4 linked regions of the Arabidopsis thaliana genome follow. Each later gene encodes a partner of the first gene's protein in a complex. Each region holds a gene or a part of one and is shown in the gene's direction. Other genes may lie near its edges. The genes, in order: AT1G31500, CAF1b, AT1G27890 and AT1G27820.

Region 1 (6,551 bases):
GGGATGGATACAAATGACTCTTGCGGCTTGCATGCAAGAAGCTGACCAGCTTCAACACTGGAGAGAGAAATGGTTATTGATTCATAGCGACTCCATTAAACCAAGAAGATACGCTAGCTGAGAGGAAGGACGAAGAAGAAATCTAGCCTCCGGTTTCATTCATGGAGCATTTCTTGAGTACACACCAACTCAAAATACATTAGACGTATCACAGTTGGCGACCATTCTTTAGAGTTGACGAAGAGATTTTGAACATCCATAATGAGCAGCTTGGGATTAATGAAGATCATCTCCATGGAGCTCAAAGGTAATATCTCTACTCATAATTGTTTCTCCTCTGTTTGTTACTTTTTGTTTTGTACGTGTTTTGCCATGTTCGATCTAGTTGTTGACTTTGGGTTGGTTCGTTATTATTTTTACTAGTATACATGTTGCATCAAACATTCGAGCAAGAAAAGTCTTCGAGTTCCCTTATCTTCAGACGTCCATGAAGCCAGAAGATGCTGGTGTGGATGCTATTCTCTCAAAGTTCAATATCATGATCTATAGCTACAAAGATGCTGCATACCCCTTTAGGATGGTACCTCCCATTGTTTACGCTCACCTCGCCATTCTCCGAGTAAACGCCGGAGACCTCACTAGCAGTGATACATGGCGTTTATATATGTAGAAGTTATAATTCAGATGGTTTCTTAAGATAAGAGAAAAGCACTTTTCATCTATGAAACAACTCTTTTTAAACAACATTCCTTCCCTTGTATTTTTTTTTGTTAAAGATTCTTCTCTTGTATTTTCCCATACTTATTCAAAATCTCTCCAAAATATTAATGTAGAGTTTACTTTTTGTCATATCCAGAAATAACTATACCAAGTAAATAAGTAGAATATATGACGAGAACGTATACAATTTATGCAATAAAGAGATTAAGCTTGGGGAATAAGGAACCACGGATGCATAAAGACCTCGAATATCAAATCATGATCTTATATTACGAGACACCGAAAGCGAGTGATCATTTGCTCATTGGCATTGAGTTCAGATCCGCCGAAGCAATAATATGAACATAGAAATAATCAAAATAAAAAACCATATTTGTATGCATAAATATTGTTTCCCACTTTTTTCGAACCAGATTCAAACTCTTATGAAGTTATCCCACTATGTTTATAGAGTTCGAAAGTAAAGACCATTATAAACATGAAAGAAGATAACCATTTAACTCGTAGCAATGGATCGGAGCACGCTTATTCTTCTTCCTCTTAATTACCTCGAAAAGCCTGGAACCGGAAGTAAGCTTGGGACATATATAGTAGCAACCAGGACCACCAATTGAAGACTCCATAGAAGAGTAACATTCAACTTTCGGGCATTCTTATGTCTCTCCCACAACGTAGATGCTAATTGACCTAGTTACAAAGTGACGAATATATAGCAGAATCTTACCATTGTTCTCAATGAAGTGACTTGGATATATTGGAAACTTGGGAAGTTGAGCTATAGAAACTGTCATTAACCTACTCCAATGCTTCTTCATCAGTATATCTTACCTGCTAAGTGCGGTTCACGTAACAAAGAAAGATGATCTCCACGGAAAATCCCTAAAGAAAGAGAATCTTTCCACTGGATCCCGATGGATGAGTGATGAAGAGACTCGAACAAGGTCTCAAATCTCTCTTTTGAGAAATCGAAACTTTGTATCGAAACGGTACCGTAGATATTATAACCTATCCAATAAGGAGTTCCTCCTATACACACACTTGACAATGGTAGTCGAAAGAACCCATGGAAGGTTTTATCAACAACAACAACCTTCCAACAATCAGATTTGAAATCGTAGATTTCAACACTTAAATTATTAGGACACCGAAACCTAACCATTTTGTAATCATTACAACCACTTGGTGACTCGTTACTAATGTATCCAAGACCATATGCATCGATGGAATGGTCAAACTCAAAGCTATAGCCACATTTGATCCATCTTGCTTCTTTCAACAACGGATTGGAAACTAAAATTTTGGTTCCCATGACCATTAGCAATAGACCATCACAATGAAACATGTTGTGCTCCAATAAATCCGAAGATGAAAGCGGTTTAAAAACCTGAAAATTTAAACTAGGTTTGTTGTTGAAATCCATACCGATACAAGAAATTGTTGAGCACAATGGAGAAACTGTGGCCGGAACGTAATTGAAGACTGTGAATATCGGTTCAAGACCATGCATGTGAGACATGTGCTTGTTGACGAATATCGGTTCTGTGATTAGTGTTTTCCATTGCTTGCATGTCCTCTACCAAATTAGTTTGTAGTATGTCCTTTACCAAATTAGTTTGTAGTATTATATTTGGGTTTGTTATTTTCAATTTAGGGTATATATTTTTATTATTAAAAACTTTTTTGATTCAATTTAATATTAGATTAATGTTTGCTCTCATTTTTATTTGGGGGATTGATACAAATAGTAATAAAAAAAACTTTATTATTTAATTAATTTATAGAGGATTAAAAATTTTATATGCTATTTTGGAAATTTCAAAAAAAAGGTGTCATTTTTTGGAATAATAAAGTTTTTTAGTGTCATTTACGTCAATCCCCTTGTTATATTAATATTGGTGTGAAGCTTTTTGGGAAATATATCTATAATTTCTCATCTTATAAAGTTTTATGCTCAAGTGAGTGTTAGTATGGAAATTTTTAATTCGCAATAGTGTATATTGGTCCGTAATGGTGAATTAGTTAAATATCGATTAATTAGATTTTAGTCTGGTACACAACCATTTATAGACTAAATATCTGACAGTAAATGATTTAGAAACTCATACTAACTTATATAGTTATATATATAGGTGCTTTGGGAATTTTTGAAAATTTTGGGTTTTGGATTTTGACGTTGATTTCGATTGGATTTTTATTTGTTGGAAAGTAAATGAACCTACTAATGACCTATTTTTGGTTCTAAAGTTCCAATAAATAAAATGAAGGCTCACTAACTACTTTAATATAAAGACAGGGAGCAAATGATAATTATCGAATTCTTCACTATTTTATTTGAAAACCCACAAGAGTTTCTTCAATCTAAAGCCAAATTGGGTTAAGTCAATTGTTGTCACTATAGATGTTTAGTTCTACAACTCTGCATCATCTTCCTCGTCCGAATCTTCTTCTTCCCAGGTGGGTTTCTTCGTTTCTGTATCAATCAATATACAGTTTCATTTTCTGTAATCTCAAGTTTCGTATTTAGTAATGCAACTAAATTGATCGTCTCTGTTCATTGTCATTGGGCAATTTCGTTGAGGAATACAATTTGTTTAGAAATTTCTCATCTTTATATTGGAACCAATCCTCTAGAATCTCGAATTTATCTGGGCTGTAATTGAAATTTTATGGGGAATTAAATCAGCTTCTTAATTTTGACCTAAATATTGATGTTCAAGGATTGTTTTTTTTCCTGACCCTTTGATTCAACAGCTCTCGTGTCTGCAGGAAAGTTATTTCGAGAAGAATGAGTACGAATCCTGCAATTGAACCAAAAGTTCGCAAATTTGAATCTGTTGAAGGAGTTGATATTGGTTCAAGAAATAAATCCGATGGTTTTTTTGCTATTCCTCTTTACTTATCAAAGCTTGTGGCTTTATATAACTGTATAAGTTTAAGTAGAATTGGTACTAGTAATGAGAATTTTGTGTTTTCAGGTATCAGATTCCGTCTTGTTTCATATAACATATTAGCTCAGGTAAGAAATAATCAAGCTTTTTAATCTCTCATATGCTTTGTGATATTTTGTAGCTTAATATTTGGACGAATTTTGTAGTTTTAAACGATCTTACGAATTTCTGAGCTTGATTTATAGATACAGACAGTTCTTTTAGCTCTTTCCTTTGTTGAGTTTCTTATCTATTTGAGCTTTATATTTCTTGTAGGTTTATGTGAAGAGTGCACTTCTCCCACACTCTCCACCTGCCTGTCTCAAGTAATTATTTTTCTCTACATTTCTCAGTTTCGAGATCAAATTTACTTATACTAGTCAAGAGTTCTTTCTGTGAGTTGTGTAATCAATGGCCTGGAGTATAGTCAAGATTTGCTTCAGAAAACAACAATGGATTCTATGAATGTTTAGGAACTTAGCTATAAGCAGGCAATATTGTGTTTGGTCTTACCCACGTTAATTATCCATTACCCAATATGTACTTTGGATTTAGCGATATATTAACTTTGTTAAAATATTAGGGAATGGTGCTTCTTAAAGGGTTATGGTTTTGTAGTAAATGTGACTTGGTCTTCCTTTTCTTGTGTTGCAGATGGAAAGCTCGTTCACATGCAATTCTCAGCGTTCTCAAAAATCTCCAGGCTGATTTCTTTTGTCTGCAGGTACTTTATTCTTGTGAAAACTTCTTCTTTTGTGTTTAGGTAGTATTGAGATACCCTTTTCGTATGAAACACAAAATTCATTCTTCTCTTTTGTTCAATCCATTAGACAAGCTCAGGCCTGTAAAAATGTTAGTGTTGTTTGTTCATAGGGCCTTTGAATTGTGTTTAACAAAAGGGTGTCTCCACTTGTTAGTTATATAGTTGCAATGCTCGCAGGAAGTAGATGAGTACGATAGCTTTTACAGAAATAACATGGACTCTCTGGGATATTCTGGGATTTATATTCAGAGAACCGGCCAGAGGAAGCGTGATGGTTGTGCAATCTTCTACAAGCCAAGCTGGTATGATAAAAACATTAAGCCTGACAAGACGTTAACTTAATGCAAAAACATCAATCTGATTGAAACAACACTCTTCTTTTGATTTAGTGCAGAGTTAGTCACAAAGGAACGGATCGAATATAATGATCTTGTGGACTCAATAAAAGCAGATAGTGTTTCCTGCAGCGAACAGAAGATTGAGACATCCAACGAAGGAAAAGGTGATGAGAAAGCGAAAGATAAATTTGTCCTTTTGGAGGAAAAGAAAGCAAATACTTTGTGCTGTTTCTTTATATCTCAACATCATTACTAACTTTTATCTATGTTCTCTTCACATGTTTCCACAAATCTGCCCCAAACAAAAGATTCTCGAAAAGACAGTCGTGACCTTAATGATCCACTAGTGAGACTAAAACGTGATTGCGTTGGAATAATGGCTGCTTTTAGGATCAACAAGCCGTTTCAGCATATCGTTATCGTGGCAAACACACATCTTTACTGGTAAAAATACTTGTCACCGATTGAAGATTATCTTTTACCACCCTTTAAACTTTCATCTCATGTTTACTTATCTCTAGGGACCCTGAATTGGCTGATGTCAAGCTTGCTCAAGCCAAGTATCTACTGTCACGACTAGCTCAGTTCAAAACACTAATATCAGATGAATTTGAGTGCACACCTTCATTGCTACTAGCTGGCGACTTCAATTCAATTCCTGGGGATATGGTTTGATTCAGTTTCTTACATTGAGTTTCCCTAATTGTTCAATCTATTTGCAAAATCAAAAGATTGGGTTTACGGTGGTAAAATCCTGATACTTGTCGTCGTTTTCCAGGTTTATAGTTACCTAGTATCGGGTAATGCTAAACCCACAGAGACCATAGAAGAAGAAGAAGCTCCAGTTCCTCTGTCTAGTGTCTATGAAGTCACAAGAGGAGAGCCTAAGTTCACAAATTGCACTCCTGGCTTCACAAACACACTTGACTACATCTTCATCTCTCCTTCAGACTTCATTAAACCTGTGAGTATCCTTCAACTACCTGAGCCGGATTCTCCAGATGTTGTCGGTTTCTTACCGAATCATCATCACCCGAGTGATCATTTACCTATAGGAGCTGAGTTTGAGATTCGTCGGGAATAGGAAGTTTCGTTCTTTAGAAAGTTTTGTCGCATAACTCCATTGTTTCAGCATTTGAATATGGTTCTTGTAGAAATCATGAAGCAGTGAATCATACACACACAACACAAAGTATTAAAGGACTTGGATCATTTTTGTCTCAATAAACTCGAAATTTTCGTTGTGTGCATTGAATTACTGAGAATATTTGAATTTTCTTGAGAAGAAATTGTTTAATGTGTCTTGTTTATTGCACTCATAAAATAACATAAGAATTGGTTCTATTATTCTGTAGTCAACTAGACAAAAACAATAGAAGATTTAGTGAAATGACATGTTAATATCATATGATGATCTCGTTTCAATTTGTTGAATAAAGTTGCAACAAAATTAGGTCAAGCATTGATCTGTTTTATCTATCAACCACTAAAGTTTGTACTATCGCACCAACTTATAATAATAAATCATAATTTTGAGTACGAACGAATATTCTTTTACAGTCTCACCTTTCACCGATAATTTGAACCATTGTTATTGAATAAAGTCGTACTCTTCAAACTTTTATCCAAAATGACAGTGATGTAATGTTATGTTCCAAAAACATAAGATTTTTTCAAAACGGATAGTGATCATTCCTTTGAATATATAATCACAAACAACCGAACAAAAATATTATATTTTCTATGCTTATTATATGTTCTTATAAATAAATATCATTTAGCATAAGCTTCCCTTGAGAACCT
Region 2 (4,492 bases), on another chromosome or scaffold:
GGATTATTCCTAGCTATTAATTTGGATTTACACATAATGAGTCATTTTATTTTTGTTCATATAGGAAAATAGGGTTGAATGACGCGTCGCACAAAAAAGGAATGGAGTTGAGGCTGCTGCATGGGGTAGCAAAAGGAGAGCCATGGTTCGGTCGTTGGGGCTACCGGTTCGGGTCAGGGACATACGGAGTGACTCAAAAGATTTACGAGAAGGCACTTGAGTCGGTCCGTAACATACCCTTGTGCTTGCTTAACCATCACCTAACCAGCCTTAACCGAGAAACTCCAATCCTCTTGTCAAAGTACCAAAGTTTATCCACCGAGCCATTGATCACTCTCAGTGACCTCTTCAGGTTCATGCTTCATCTCCATTCACGTCTTCCAAGAGATAACTACATGAGTAACTCCCGAAACCAAATCATCTCCATTGATAGTACCAACTGCAGATGGTCTCAAAAACGGATCCAAATGGCTATCAAAGTGGTCATAGAGTCACTGAAAAGAGTCGAATACCGATGGATATCGAGACAAGAAGTGAGGGATGCAGCTAGAAATTACATTGGGGACACTGGTTTGCTTGATTTTGTGTTGAAGTCGCTTGGGAACCAGGTGGTTGGAAACTATTTGGTCCGACGTAGTCTAAATCCGGTGAAGAAAGTGCTAGAGTATTCCTTGGAGGATATATCAAATTTGTTACCAAGTAGTAACAATGAACTCATAACCCTTCAAAACCAAAACTCAATGGGGAAGATGGCGACAAACGGTCACAATAAGATCACAAGAGGTCAAGTTATGAAAGACATGTTTTATTTTTACAAACACATTCTCATGGACTACAAGGGAGTGTTAGGCCCCATAGGAGGTATATTGAACCAAATCGGAATGGCTTCAAGAGCAATCCTCGACGCTAAGTACTTCATCAAAGAGTATCACTACATTAGAGATACATCGGCGAAAACGTTACACTTAGATCGAGGGGAAGAATTAGGAATATTCTGCACGATCGCGTGGAAATGTCATCATCATAACAACGAGATAAAAGTTCCTCCACAAGAATGCATTGTAGTGAAGAAAGATGCAACATTGAGTGAAGTGTACGGAGAGGCAGAAAGAGTGTTTAGAGATATCTATTGGGAACTAAGAGACGTCGTGGTGGAGTCAGTGGTGGGTGGTCAAATAGAGATCACAAGGGTCGATGAAATGGCCTTGAATGGGAATAAGGGATTGGTGTTAGAAGGGAACGTAGGAATGATGATGAACATTGAAGTGACGAAATGTTATGAAGATGATGATAAAAAGAAGGATAAGAGAATAGAGTGTGAGTGTGGAGCAACGGAAGAAGATGGAGAGAGAATGGTGTGTTGTGATATTTGTGAAGTATGGCAACACACAAGGTGTGTTGGTGTTCAACACAATGAGGAAGTGCCTCGCATTTTTCTTTGTCAAAGTTGTGATCAACATCTTATTCCTCTCTCTTTTTTACCCTAAATCATTCATGTTATATTAAACCTTCTTTTTTTCTATCATTACGTCATAATACATAAATTATACTCCTCGATCAACGTGAATTCTAATGATCCCTCCTGCGTCTATATCACCAACATGTTGAATCACAAAGTCATATCCTTGCCTCCTCTGGAGCCTGACTGTTCTAATAATATCATTATCAACATGTCGCTCTCCTCTTCCCCTGATGACTCATGTGACGTCATCTACTCCAACCGTGATTCCAAGTTTTACTTGACAACAACCTTAAGGCTTGTCTCCAAGAAAAGGCAGTTAAATTTTAACAGAAAATAATTCACAACACAAGGCGGAGAAAGAAGTGTGTAGTGTTTTAAATAATTTAGGCTTACAATTGATGCAAAAACAAAATTACAAACAAAAGAAGGTTTACATAATTTAAATAATTTAGTTTTACAATTGATGCATTTGGAATTAATAAATTATTTCTTCATTAACATGGAACAATATCAAGTTATTGCAAACAAAGGAAATGAAAGAAAAACAGTCATGTGTTTAACAACTCTGTTCAAGGTCAACGTCCTAAAAAGTTTCTTATTATATTGACTGAAGATGGAAAACTCCACGGACTATCTACGTTTGTGATATTGTTTCTAGAAATTGGGACTTACATCCAAATCTGGAAGAACAATCTTCTAAACACTACCAACAAAGTCATGAGATTCGATGAGTAAACTAGGGAACAATGAAAACTGAAAAGGGCTCAACCTAGGCTTCGCTGTTGCTACAATTTCGTGAAAACATTAAAGCACAATCAGATACGTGTAGACATCATCATAATCTAATGATTCAACCCTTTAATGCGTTTTTAGTGCGTCGTTACATATTCAGTGTTTATTGGTAATATAGCAATATTCCTGATAAAGTTCATTGGTCGTAAGTCGTAACGTTTACATGTTTTATTCAACTCTTAAAAACCAATAGAAAATCTTAATGTACTTGGCCTTCTTATTCTTGTCGGCTTAATGTACTTACTTAAATACAACGACTTGAATTGCAATAATTCGATACACGAAGGAGAAGCCAACTTAGACTAAGTCAAGAAACACATTGAATCATAAACGTGCGCGTTTCTCACACTTCTTCTCCTCTCCTTCCTCGTAAACACTCTCTTACTCACATTCATATATATAACTAAACCTTGCAGATTAACCAAATCAACAAAAAAAAACAGACTTTTGATAAATTCACAACGAAGAAGAAGACCTAAAAGATCGGGACTTGAAACTATGATCAAATCAGAAGCAGATCTCTCCGATGTGATCGTGATTCGTGACGTTTGGGCTTATAATCTCGAGTCAGAGTTTGACCTAATCAGAGGAATCGTCGAAGATTACCCATTCATCTCAATGGATACAGAATTTCCCGGCGTGATTTACAAGGCGGATCTCGACGTTCTCCGCCGTGGAAACCCTAATTATCTCTACAATCTTCTCAAATCCAACGTTGACGCTTTAAGTTTGATCCAAGTCGGTCTTACTCTCTCCGACGCCGACGGAAACCTCCCAGATCTCGGCGGTCAAAAAAACCGTCGATACATCTGGGAATTCAATTTCCGTGACTTCGACGTGGAGCGTGATCCACACGCTCCTGATTCGATCGAGCTACTCCGTCGTCACGGGATCGATTTCGAGCGGAACCGTCGCGAAGGTGTTGAATCGGAGAGGTTCGCGGAGCTGATGATGTCATCGGGGTTGATCTGTAACGAGTCTGTGAGCTGGGTGACGTTTCACAGCGCGTATGATTTTGGTTACCTTGTGAAGATTCTCACGCGCCGGCAGCTTCCGGTGGCGTTGCGTGAGTTTTTAGGGTTGCTTAGAGCTTTCTTCGGTGATAGGGTTTATGATGTGAAACATATTATGAGGTTTTGTGAGCAGAGATTGTATGGTGGTTTGGACCGGGTTGCTCGGTCTCTTGAAGTTAACCGGGCGGTTGGGAAATGTCATCAAGCCGGTTCGGATAGTTTGCTGACGTGGCAGGCGTTTCAGAGGATGAGGGATTTGTATTTCGTTGAGGATGGGGCGGAGAAACACGCCGGAGTTTTGTATGGTTTAGAGGTTTTTTGAGGGATTTATAATTAATTAATTTAATTAATCTTTGTTAATCATTTATACAGTCGAAATCGAAATTATCTTATTCATCTCTCGTTTTAACCAAATCCAAAAACCAAAACGAAATAACTCAATTTGGTTTTGTTTAACCAATTTACACTTCAAAACTTTTTGTGCAGTAAAATATTATCGTTACGTTAGAGCTAGGCTTTGAGGTATAACTTTGATTTTTGTTGGTGTTGTTTAATAGTTTACATCTAGTCATGGAATCATAAATTGAAATTATTCACAATATTGTAACATCTATATATAGAGAGAGATATGAGGAGGATTTAGTTCCTCATTTTGAAGAAGTTTGGTGTGAGTCATCATCATTGTTATCAAGAGGATTGTTAACATATAGACGAAGCAATCTCCCAAGTGACTTCCCACGTCGGTCGTGTGGTGGTTGGAGATGTGAACAGACGTCGACAAAAGCACGGACGATGAGATTGTGTTGAGGAGAAGGGTTTATGTCCAAGAAACACCTTAGAAGCTCCTTAAGTTCACTTTCCGTCTCGATATATCTCTCTTCGATCATCTGATTCATCGACTTCTTGTAATCTTCGAACGGATTGATTGATTCTTTAGCCATCGCGACGCTCTCATCGATCTTAGGACATGGGCTGCGTAAAACCGTGGGAGAAACCGGTGGTCCCGGGGTGTAGTGGCTGTGAGAGGAAGGTGGAACGGTAGAGCCGCAACCGCATGCCATAAAAATGGGTTTGAATATGGTTTTGAGTATATACTTCATCATCTTCTTGAAAGACATTTTTTTTTTTACTAGAGGAAGAGAAAACAAGTTGAGATTATTGAGTGAGGATGTTGGTGTGGGAAAGTTTGTTAAAAGAGGAACCTTTTTTTCATTTAACTTAGCTT
Region 3 (4,177 bases), 1.6 Mb from region 1:
TGATAGAAGCGAATGAAACCGGTTGCTTATCTCAAGCTCTAACAGTTGTTGCTATGCTGTCAGCAGAGACAACTCTTCTTCCTGCTAGGAGGTTAGTTTTTACGATATACAATAACCTGGGTCAGATTGTGAAATGTTTAAAATCACATTGACTAGATACAGATGCGTCAACTCTTGTCTTTATGGTTTTTGCTTGCATGATAGTAAACCCAGTGAAAAGAAGAGGAAACATGATGAAGATTCTAATCTTCCTAATGGATCCGGATATGGTGATCACATTCAACTGCTACAGATTTTCGAATCTTGGGACCGTACTAATTATGATCCTGTATGGTGCAAAGAGAACGGCATGCAGGTAATTGTTCCATTTTCTTCCTTCCTTCCTTATCTATTCTCGAGTATTCCAAGTGAAAAGCATGGTGACATCAAAAGCCTTACTGCATTGTTACTTCAGAAGGTGGTCAGTTATATGCTGTCTCTGCAGTTAATACAATCTATATAGCATAGAAAATCCCTTCATTGTTGAGACCTGACTCCGATGGGCGTCAATGTTTGTATTTTCTGCTTCATACAGTTTTATAACCAACAATTATGGGAGTTACTGAAATTTACTACCTTTGTTTAGATAGTCTATTTCGGTACATTATTACGTGGGTTCCTTATGCCAATAAGAAAGATAACTTTTGTTGAAAAATAATTTGCAGGTGCGAGGGATGGTGTTTGTCAAAGATGTTAGAAGACAGTTATGTCAGATTATGCAGAAAATATCCAAAGGTTAGATTGTTTCATGACAAGAAGATTCCGTGAAAGAATATATAATTATTTCTCTATGGCTTTCACCCTAAATGGTTATGCCTCCAACAGAACCAGAGTTTATGTCAACATCACTCTTTTATCTTGTGAGATGTGATAGGTGGCTGTGTCATACCTAACCAACCGTCACTAAAATATTTGGTCTCCTTGACAAACTAGATCGATTGGAAGTTGGGGCAGATGGTAGGAAGAGTTCAAGCCGAGACGACTACAGGAAGTTGAGGAAAGCTCTATGCGTTGGTAATGCAAACCAAATTGCTGAGAGAATGCTTCGTCACAATGGATACCGGACTCTTAGTTTCCAGTCCCAGCTAGTCCAGGCATTACTTCTCAATCCAAGTCTCATTTATCTGTTACAGTGTTAGATTTTCTATTACATCAGTAGCTCAGATATGTAAGCATTTCCAGTTTCGTATGATCATCGACATATTGACGTTTTTGGTTGATTCTAGGTGCATCCATCATCTGTATTGAGTGCCGACAATGACGGAATGATGCCTAACTACGTAGTGTACCATGAGCTGATTTCCACCACACGTCCGTTCATGCGGAATGTTTGTGCAGTAGATATGGCATGGGTGGCTCCCATCAAAAGAAAGATCGAGAAATTAAATGTCAGAAAATTGAGGTAAAAACAAACATTACTCTTTACTAGTTCAATCCAGTCTTGTTCTAGCTTTTTCTTGTCTGGTCTTGGATTCAGTAATTGATCGGTATCATTTAATCTGCCATGTAGCGGTGGACCGGCTCCCTCTTTCAAAGTACCTGAGGAGAAGACGGAGTTGTCTAAAAACAATGCAGAAACACCTGCAGTTTCTGAAAATGTTGAGAGTCGGATTGAAGCAGCCAGAGAACGCTTTCTTGCTCGTAAAGGACAGAAATAAATTTGATGTCTCAAACATAAATACAAGATTCAACTAGCCCTATAAAGAATAGAAAAGAGAAGCTTTCTGTAGAAGATTTGTTATTAGAGACAATTTTCAAATTTTGTATGTTCTGTTTTTTTTTTTTTTGGCTCAACTTAAACTTTTCTTTATTCTCATTCGACATGAGTTTTAAATTTTTAACCCAATTTGGTATGTTCTTAGTATTATGTTTAAAAGATGATAATGTTTACACGAAAAAAGAAAAGAAAAAGGTTTTGGTATTAGTCAGACTTCGGTTTAGTGATTTAATTCGGTTTAGTATTAAAATTGTAAACCGCTTCGGAAACAGGCTTCTCTTATTTTGGGCTTTTGAGAGGAAAATGGAAATCTCGTGTCCAACAAGAATTAAATTAGGAGTGATAAAAGTCAACACGAACTTTTTGACTGGAAAAAAATGGAAACTTTCCGGCGACGTAAGAAAAAAGGAAACTCCCACTGCTATTAGTATTCGAGTCTCCGAAATCAGATAGAGAGAGAGATTAGTATTTCAGATAAACAAACTGTTTCAGTCTTCAAAATCCGAGAGAGATGGGTGAAGTTTGGAGATGGAACAAGGAAGTAGAGATGGATTCGATAAGAGATTGTTTGAAACATTTTAGTTCCATCGCTATCGACACAGAGTTTCCCGGATGCTTAAAGGAGACTCCGATGGACGCGAGTGAGGAAATTCGTTACAGAGACATGAAGTTCAATGTGGACAACACCCATCTCATCCAGTTAGGTTTCACGCTATTCGACAGAAGAGGAATCACTAAAACCTGGGAAATAAACTTGTCAGATTTCAACGAACATAAGTGCTTCAAAAACGATAAGTCCATAGCTTTTCTCAAAAGCAATGGTCTCAATCTGGACAAGATCGGAGAGGAAGGTATTGGAATCGAAGAATTCTTTAGAGACTTTTCTCAGATTCTCAAGGAGAAGGACGGAAAGATAACTTGGGTGAATTTTCAAGGCTCTTACGACAATGCTTATCTCGTTAAAGGCTTAACGGGAGGGAAACCGTTACCGGAGACTAAGGAAGAGTTTCACGAGACCGTCGAGCAGCTTTTGGGAAAGTTTGTTTTTGACGTAAAGAAAATCGCTGAATCATGCAGCGGACTAAGTAGCCGATTCGGACTACAGAGAATAGCTGATGTGTTGCAGATGAAACGTGTTGGAAAAGCTCATCACGCTGGCTCAGACAGTGAATTGACGGCTCGTGTCTTCACTAAGTTGACTTTCGATTTGCTCAATAGTAGAAAGCAGTGTGTAAGACGAGTTGATCATCAGCAATATCAACTAGAGCAGCAGCAGCTTATGATGACTAGATGTTACATCCCAATACCGATACCTATACCGAGACCGAGATCGGTGATGTTTGCTGCTCATCACCCGAACCCGTATTTTGGTGGTGGTTACTTTGGGATGCCGGTCCAAGGAAGGAACTACGTTTTGTGATGCCTGAATGTTTGTTTAACATGACTTGCTCTGCTATTATGTATAATTTCTAGTTTTATCAGATGTTTCTTTAAATACTAAAGATTAACTTTCATCTTTTCTTGTCGATCAAAACAATTCTCTCAACTCTCATATGACACAATTTCTCTTTACTGGATACTTTCAATGAATCTAGAATACAATACAAATAAATTTAAATATCCTAAGAATCTACTCAAAGCCTCTAATCTTATGTTATGTAGCTAAAGCTGCGTTCCTGTCAACAAAATTGAACAACTCTGTTTGTGCCGCTTCCATTATCACTCGGAAGTCTACGTTCATATACCTTCCCCTGCAAAGCCATATTTCAATTAAATCACATGTACCATCACCAAACAATAACTTGCATGGCTTGGTTTAGCTGATGATGATGAATATACCAGAAATGAGTCTTGGACCAGACTGAATTCGGAAAAGCTGGACTTCCAACTCCGTGCATTATTCTCGCGATGGCTCTTGGTGTGAATTTGGCTTGGCGATTACTCTGCAAAAACACCTGTTTTGACACACAATAGTTAACTGGACATTCTTTGGATACATGGCAAAACAATAAAGTATGAACAACAGTGTGGCTTCTTGGATCTTCACCTTTATGTCTGCTCGTAGAAAGGCGCTGCATCCACAATACAAGCGTTGATCAATTTAATGGAAAGATGACTTTGACAAACAAATAATATGTAACAACCGCAGTTTTATATTTCCTTATTCGCTATGCAATAATCGAAATTTGGAATCTATGAAAACAAGTAAAATATTTTGTTAGTACCAATTTTGAGTAGCCTTGCTCGGACTGTCACACTTTTCATCACCATTGAAGTAATCAAAGATTCTGCTTTGCAGGCTCCGAGTTTGCTTGGCACCAGAACTCAGTTCTGAAGTGTTAGAGACACTAATCGCAGCCACAGCTGCACTAGACATAATATCCAGTTTTCTCACCTATATCAGAAGCAAAAATTATTGCT
Region 4 (4,222 bases), 1.6 Mb from region 1:
CAGATAGGTCGGCAAAAACCTGTAATTTGCTATCTCATCCCCCCGTACATTTTCCACTGCAACCTCTTTTGCTCTCCAAGCGGTAGAATATGAAATACGCACATTCAGATCATTTAGGAGCAGCTGTGGTAAGTCGACAGCTCGCGGCCCACCCTGCGTAGAACTGTATATGCTCCTCACAACTTCTCCGAGGAGCTTATAATTAGCATGTTTATTGTAGTTCTTCCGAGAGTCGATGTTACACGTATGTGTCGTAGCATACGAAGTGATTTTGAAATTTCTGAATCCTTCACGACGCGAGCAGTCAATTGCCATGGACAAGTCTCATCAACGCACACCATCTTCAATGTTTTAGGACATGACTTAGGTTGCTTGAAGCAAAAGCATTGCTTTATCGCTTGAAGAGACATTGTTTGTTGCAGGACTTTTCTATTCTTAAAAACACTTCCAACAAACAAAGTTTCGCCTGTGGTGCTGATTTCAACCTGTGTCTCATCAGCTCAAAAATTGAGTAAGTCATCGAACACAGGAGCAGCATCGTTACCGAGATTCGCCAACTCGCCACCATGTAACTTAGGAAATTCATTATACACTTGGTAAGCCTCAGCTGCGGTAACTACCCCATTATCATTTTGTGTCCCAGTTGAGGAAGCTCCAATACCTTCGATCACTTCATCCCTGGTGACTTCGTCTATACAAATAAGATTGGAATCCCTTTGCCCTTCGCAGCGTGTACCGTAACCCAATGGAGAGATTGTTTCTTCGCCAGGTACACTAAGACCAGTGTACGTACACGTTTCCAAGAGACGACTGAATTCCCCTGTATCTCCGCTAGGTACACTAACACCCGTGTACGTACACGTTTCCAATAAACGACTGAATTTCCCTGGATGTTGAGCAGTCTGTTGAGTGAGACTGACGTCTTCCTCAAGATTTCCTTGTACATATTCTTCTACTATTACATCGTTCCACTTGTTGTAATCGTATTCTTCGCCAATACCTTCACTACCGTCTGTGGTAGGATACAGGGTACTTCCCCCAATAGATCCATCCACACCAAGATAATCATCACACCCATCATCATCTTCGTTGCCCTCCTCCAATTCATCCGCTTCTGTTGTATCGTCTTCAACATCGGCTTGCTCCTCTGCATCCTCATTATTTTCATCAACATTTGTAGCACTATCAAACACACGGTCACTTTCAGAAACTTCACCATGAGACCTAGAGACAGTATTCCCGAACGCCTTCACTGTATTATTGAAAGAGACGAACAAGTTGAGAGAAAGATACCCACCACGAACCAAAAAAAACGTCTCGAGACCCATCTGACTGTCAATGTATACAGGAGGGCGTTTAGTATCTATCAGCACTGACATTTCACCCGGCATCCAGTAGCTAATTATGGGATTGATCTCGGTGGACTTCAAACTGAAAGCCTCTCGGAGTGTACGGACAAAGTCCGTGTACGTCATGGTTTCCTGAACGCGTACACAACGACCAAAGATGCCTTCCTCAGGTTCAAATTTCCATTCTCCTTCTTTGCATTTCCACTCACCGACCATGGTAAATACGGGAATATCCATAACCCACCTGCATCATAAATTCAGGAGACACACATTAAATGCAACTGAAAAATACTATACATATAAAAAACAAATGGAATGTCGATACTACACATTTATAAACCTAAATACCAATTATCATTTGACTATTTTAAACAAACAAATATAGATTTTGCAAATATTCTGATAAAAAAATGGAGTTCGAACACAATCAAGATCCTAATATGACATAAAAAAAACTTCTTAAAAGAACTTCATTACTTACACGAGCAATGCTCCAAACTTGGTACAAAAACAAGATCAACACTTCTTCAGCAGCAATGTACGTTCGCAATAATTCTTTGTTCCTGGGTTCATCTTCTTCATCTCAACAAATTTTTTTTTAATTATTATTAATAATTTTTTTAATATTATTTGATGTAATGATGATTTTGCATTAATTGTGACAATAGTCACATCTAAACTTTTTGGGGGCATTAAATGTTGATGTCACTTCGGAATAATCTCACTTGTAACGGAACCGAATCGCGTCAACGTGAACAAAAAATCTTCAACTGAACCGGAACAGTGTACGTAACTAAACCTGCTAAACTAAACCGTACATTTCAACAGTTGCTAAGAGAGAAACGCAAGGGCAGAAACGTCATTTTGCAGGCGAAAAGACAAATGGTGAAAACCACATTTGACTTTGACAATCCATGGAAATAAAACATGGTCAACGGATGTGGCCTGCAATTTACCCTATTTTCTATTCACAGTAAAAAATGATTATAAAGTTATTAAAATCTATTTAAACAAATATCTAGTTGCTCTATATAAAATATACATAATTATGTGCGAAAAACAATCACCGCACTAAGTTAGTTTTTTTTTTTTCTTTGGCTTTTAAGAGAAAAATGGAAATTCTCGTGTTTAACAAGAATTAGGAGAAACAAAAAGGAAATTTTGTGTTGTGCCTTAAAAAAAAAAGGAAACTGAAGTCTGTGTTACTCTACATAATCTAATCTCCTCTAACAACAATCCTAATAACCAAACGAAAATAAATTCAGGTGGCTTCTCGCTTTTCTCTTTCAGAAAAACAAACGTTTTTTTCTTTCGTAGTTTCGTTCGAGATGAAGCAAATTAGTAGCGGTGAAGTTTGGAGATGGAACAAGGAAGTAGAGATGAATTCGATAAGAGATTGTTTGAAACATTGTAGTTCCATCGCTATCGACACAGAGTTTCCCGGATGCTTAAAGGAGACTCCGATGGACGCGAGTGAGGAAATTCGTTACAGAGACATGAAGTTCAATGTGGACAACACCCATCTCATCCAGTTAGGTTTCACGCTATTCGACAGAAGAGGATTCGCTAAAACCTGGGAAATAAACTTGTCAGATTTCGACGAACATAAGTGCTTCAAAAACGATAAGTCCATTGCGTTTCTGAAAAGCAATGGTCTCAATCTGGACAAGATCAGAGAGGAAGGTATTGGAATCGATGAATTCTTTAGAGACTTTTCTCAGATTCTCACGGAGAAGGACGGAAAGATAACTTGGGTGAATTTTCAAGGCTCTTACGACAATGCTTATCTCGTTAAAGGCTTAACGGGAGGGAAACCGTTACCGGAGACTAAGGAAGAGTTTCACGAGACCGTCCAGCAGCTTTTGGGAAAGTTTGTTTTTGACGTAAAGAAAATCGCTGAATCATGCAGCGGACTAAGTAGCCAATTCGGACTACAGAGAATAGCTGATGTGTTGCAGATGAAACGTGTTGGAAAAGCTCATCACGCTGGCTCAGACAGTGAATTGACGGCTCGTGTCTTCACTAAGTTGACTTTCGATTTGCTTAATAGTAGAAAGCAGAGTGTAAGACGAGTTGATCATCAGCAATTTCAACTAGAGCAGCAACAGCATCAGCAGTTTATGATGACTAGATGTTACATCCCGATACCGATGCCGATACCGAGACCGAGACCGGTGATGTTTGCTGCTCATCACCAGAACCCGTATTTTGGTGGTGGTTACTTTAGGATGCCGGTCCAAGGAATGAACTATGTTTTGTGATCCCTGAATGTTTGTTTAACATGACTTGCTCTGCTATTATGTATAATTTCTAGTTTTATCAGATGTTTCTTTAAATACTAAAGATTAACTTTCATCTTTTCTTGTCGATCAAAACAATTCTCTTAACTCTCATATGACACAATTTCTCTTTACTGGATACTTTTAATGAATCTAAAAAGTTAGAATACAGTACAAATAAATTTAAATATCTTAGAATCTACTCAAAGCCTCTAATCTTATGTTATGTAGCTAAAGCTGCGTTCCTGTCAACAAAATTGAACAACTCTGTTTGTGCCGCTTCCATTTTCACACGGAAGTCTACGCACATGAGCTATAAACCACGCGGTATTTATTAAGTTGCCAACTTGGTCATTTACAAAAAGTCGAATAGGCTGCAACTACATTCTGCAAATTTTGTAAAGGGTGAAACTACCCAGTAAAAGAACTGTGTTCAAATAGATTTTTATTATTTTACTTTTACACTTTGACGTAGTTATCTTTAGTTACAAATTTATGGTCTTCGCCGAATAAAGAGATTCGTTTTGGTCTTACAGTCGATCGTTGTTTATTCGGTTCGCATTGACTCGGAACGAGTTTAATCTTCATTTTAGT

Evidence for each region.
Region 2: AT1G31500 (region 1) and CAF1b share a complex: the UniProt entries of both Arabidopsis thaliana proteins name them as parts of the CCR4-NOT complex.
Region 3: AT1G31500 (region 1) and AT1G27890 share a complex: the UniProt entries of both Arabidopsis thaliana proteins name them as parts of the CCR4-NOT complex.
Region 4: AT1G31500 (region 1) and AT1G27820 share a complex: the UniProt entries of both Arabidopsis thaliana proteins name them as parts of the CCR4-NOT complex.

The regions. Positions count from the first base shown.
Region 1 is NC_003070.9:11,273,102-11,279,652, reverse strand, and holds AT1G31500 (DNAse I-like superfamily protein), read left to right. Parts: upstream 1-3,024; 5' UTR 3,025-3,118; coding exon 3,119-3,174; exon of another isoform or gene 3,175-3,178; intron 3,179-3,471; coding exon 3,472-3,736; intron 3,737-3,923; coding exon 3,924-3,973; intron 3,974-4,301; coding exon 4,302-4,371; intron 4,372-4,587; coding exon 4,588-4,712; intron 4,713-4,799; coding exon 4,800-4,912; intron 4,913-5,056; coding exon 5,057-5,192; intron 5,193-5,269; coding exon 5,270-5,417; coding exon of another isoform or gene 5,418-5,423; exon of another isoform or gene 5,424-5,526; coding exon 5,527-5,832; 3' UTR 5,833-6,051; downstream 6,052-6,551. Other genes in the region: AT1G31520 (uncharacterized protein), read left to right, coding at 14-72, 215-307, 424-670; AT1G31510 (F-box associated ubiquitination effector family protein), read right to left, coding at 1,191-1,372, 1,445-1,504, 1,549-2,236. UniProt on the Arabidopsis thaliana protein: Acts as a catalytic component of the CCR4-NOT core complex, which in the nucleus seems to be a general transcription factor, and in the cytoplasm the major mRNA deadenylase involved in mRNA turnover.
Region 2 is NC_003076.8:7,364,702-7,369,193, reverse strand, and holds CAF1b (Polynucleotidyl transferase, ribonuclease H-like superfamily protein), read left to right. Parts: upstream 1-2,394; 5' UTR 2,395-2,752; coding exon 2,753-3,589; 3' UTR 3,590-3,717; downstream 3,718-4,492. Other genes in the region: MS1 (RING/FYVE/PHD zinc finger superfamily protein), read left to right, coding at 65-1,487; OFP10 (Ovate family protein), read right to left, coding at 3,915-4,492. UniProt on the Arabidopsis thaliana protein: Ubiquitous transcription factor required for a diverse set of processes. It is a component of the CCR4 complex involved in the control of gene expression.
Region 3 is NC_003070.9:9,713,135-9,717,311, reverse strand, and holds AT1G27890 (Polynucleotidyl transferase, ribonuclease H-like superfamily protein), read left to right. Parts: upstream 1-2,135; 5' UTR 2,136-2,267; coding exon 2,268-3,176; downstream 3,177-4,177. Other genes in the region: AT1G27900 (RNA helicase family protein), read left to right, coding at 1-91, 205-355, 705-774, 973-1,133, 1,266-1,441, 1,550-1,697; AT1G27880 (DEAD/DEAH box RNA helicase family protein), read right to left, coding at 3,411-3,507, 3,596-3,711, 3,804-3,828, 3,982-4,151. UniProt on the Arabidopsis thaliana protein: Ubiquitous transcription factor required for a diverse set of processes. It is a component of the CCR4 complex involved in the control of gene expression.
Region 4 is NC_003070.9:9,688,951-9,693,172, forward strand, and holds AT1G27820 (Polynucleotidyl transferase, ribonuclease H-like superfamily protein), read left to right. Parts: upstream 1-2,677; coding exon 2,678-3,610; downstream 3,611-4,222. UniProt on the Arabidopsis thaliana protein: Ubiquitous transcription factor required for a diverse set of processes. It is a component of the CCR4 complex involved in the control of gene expression.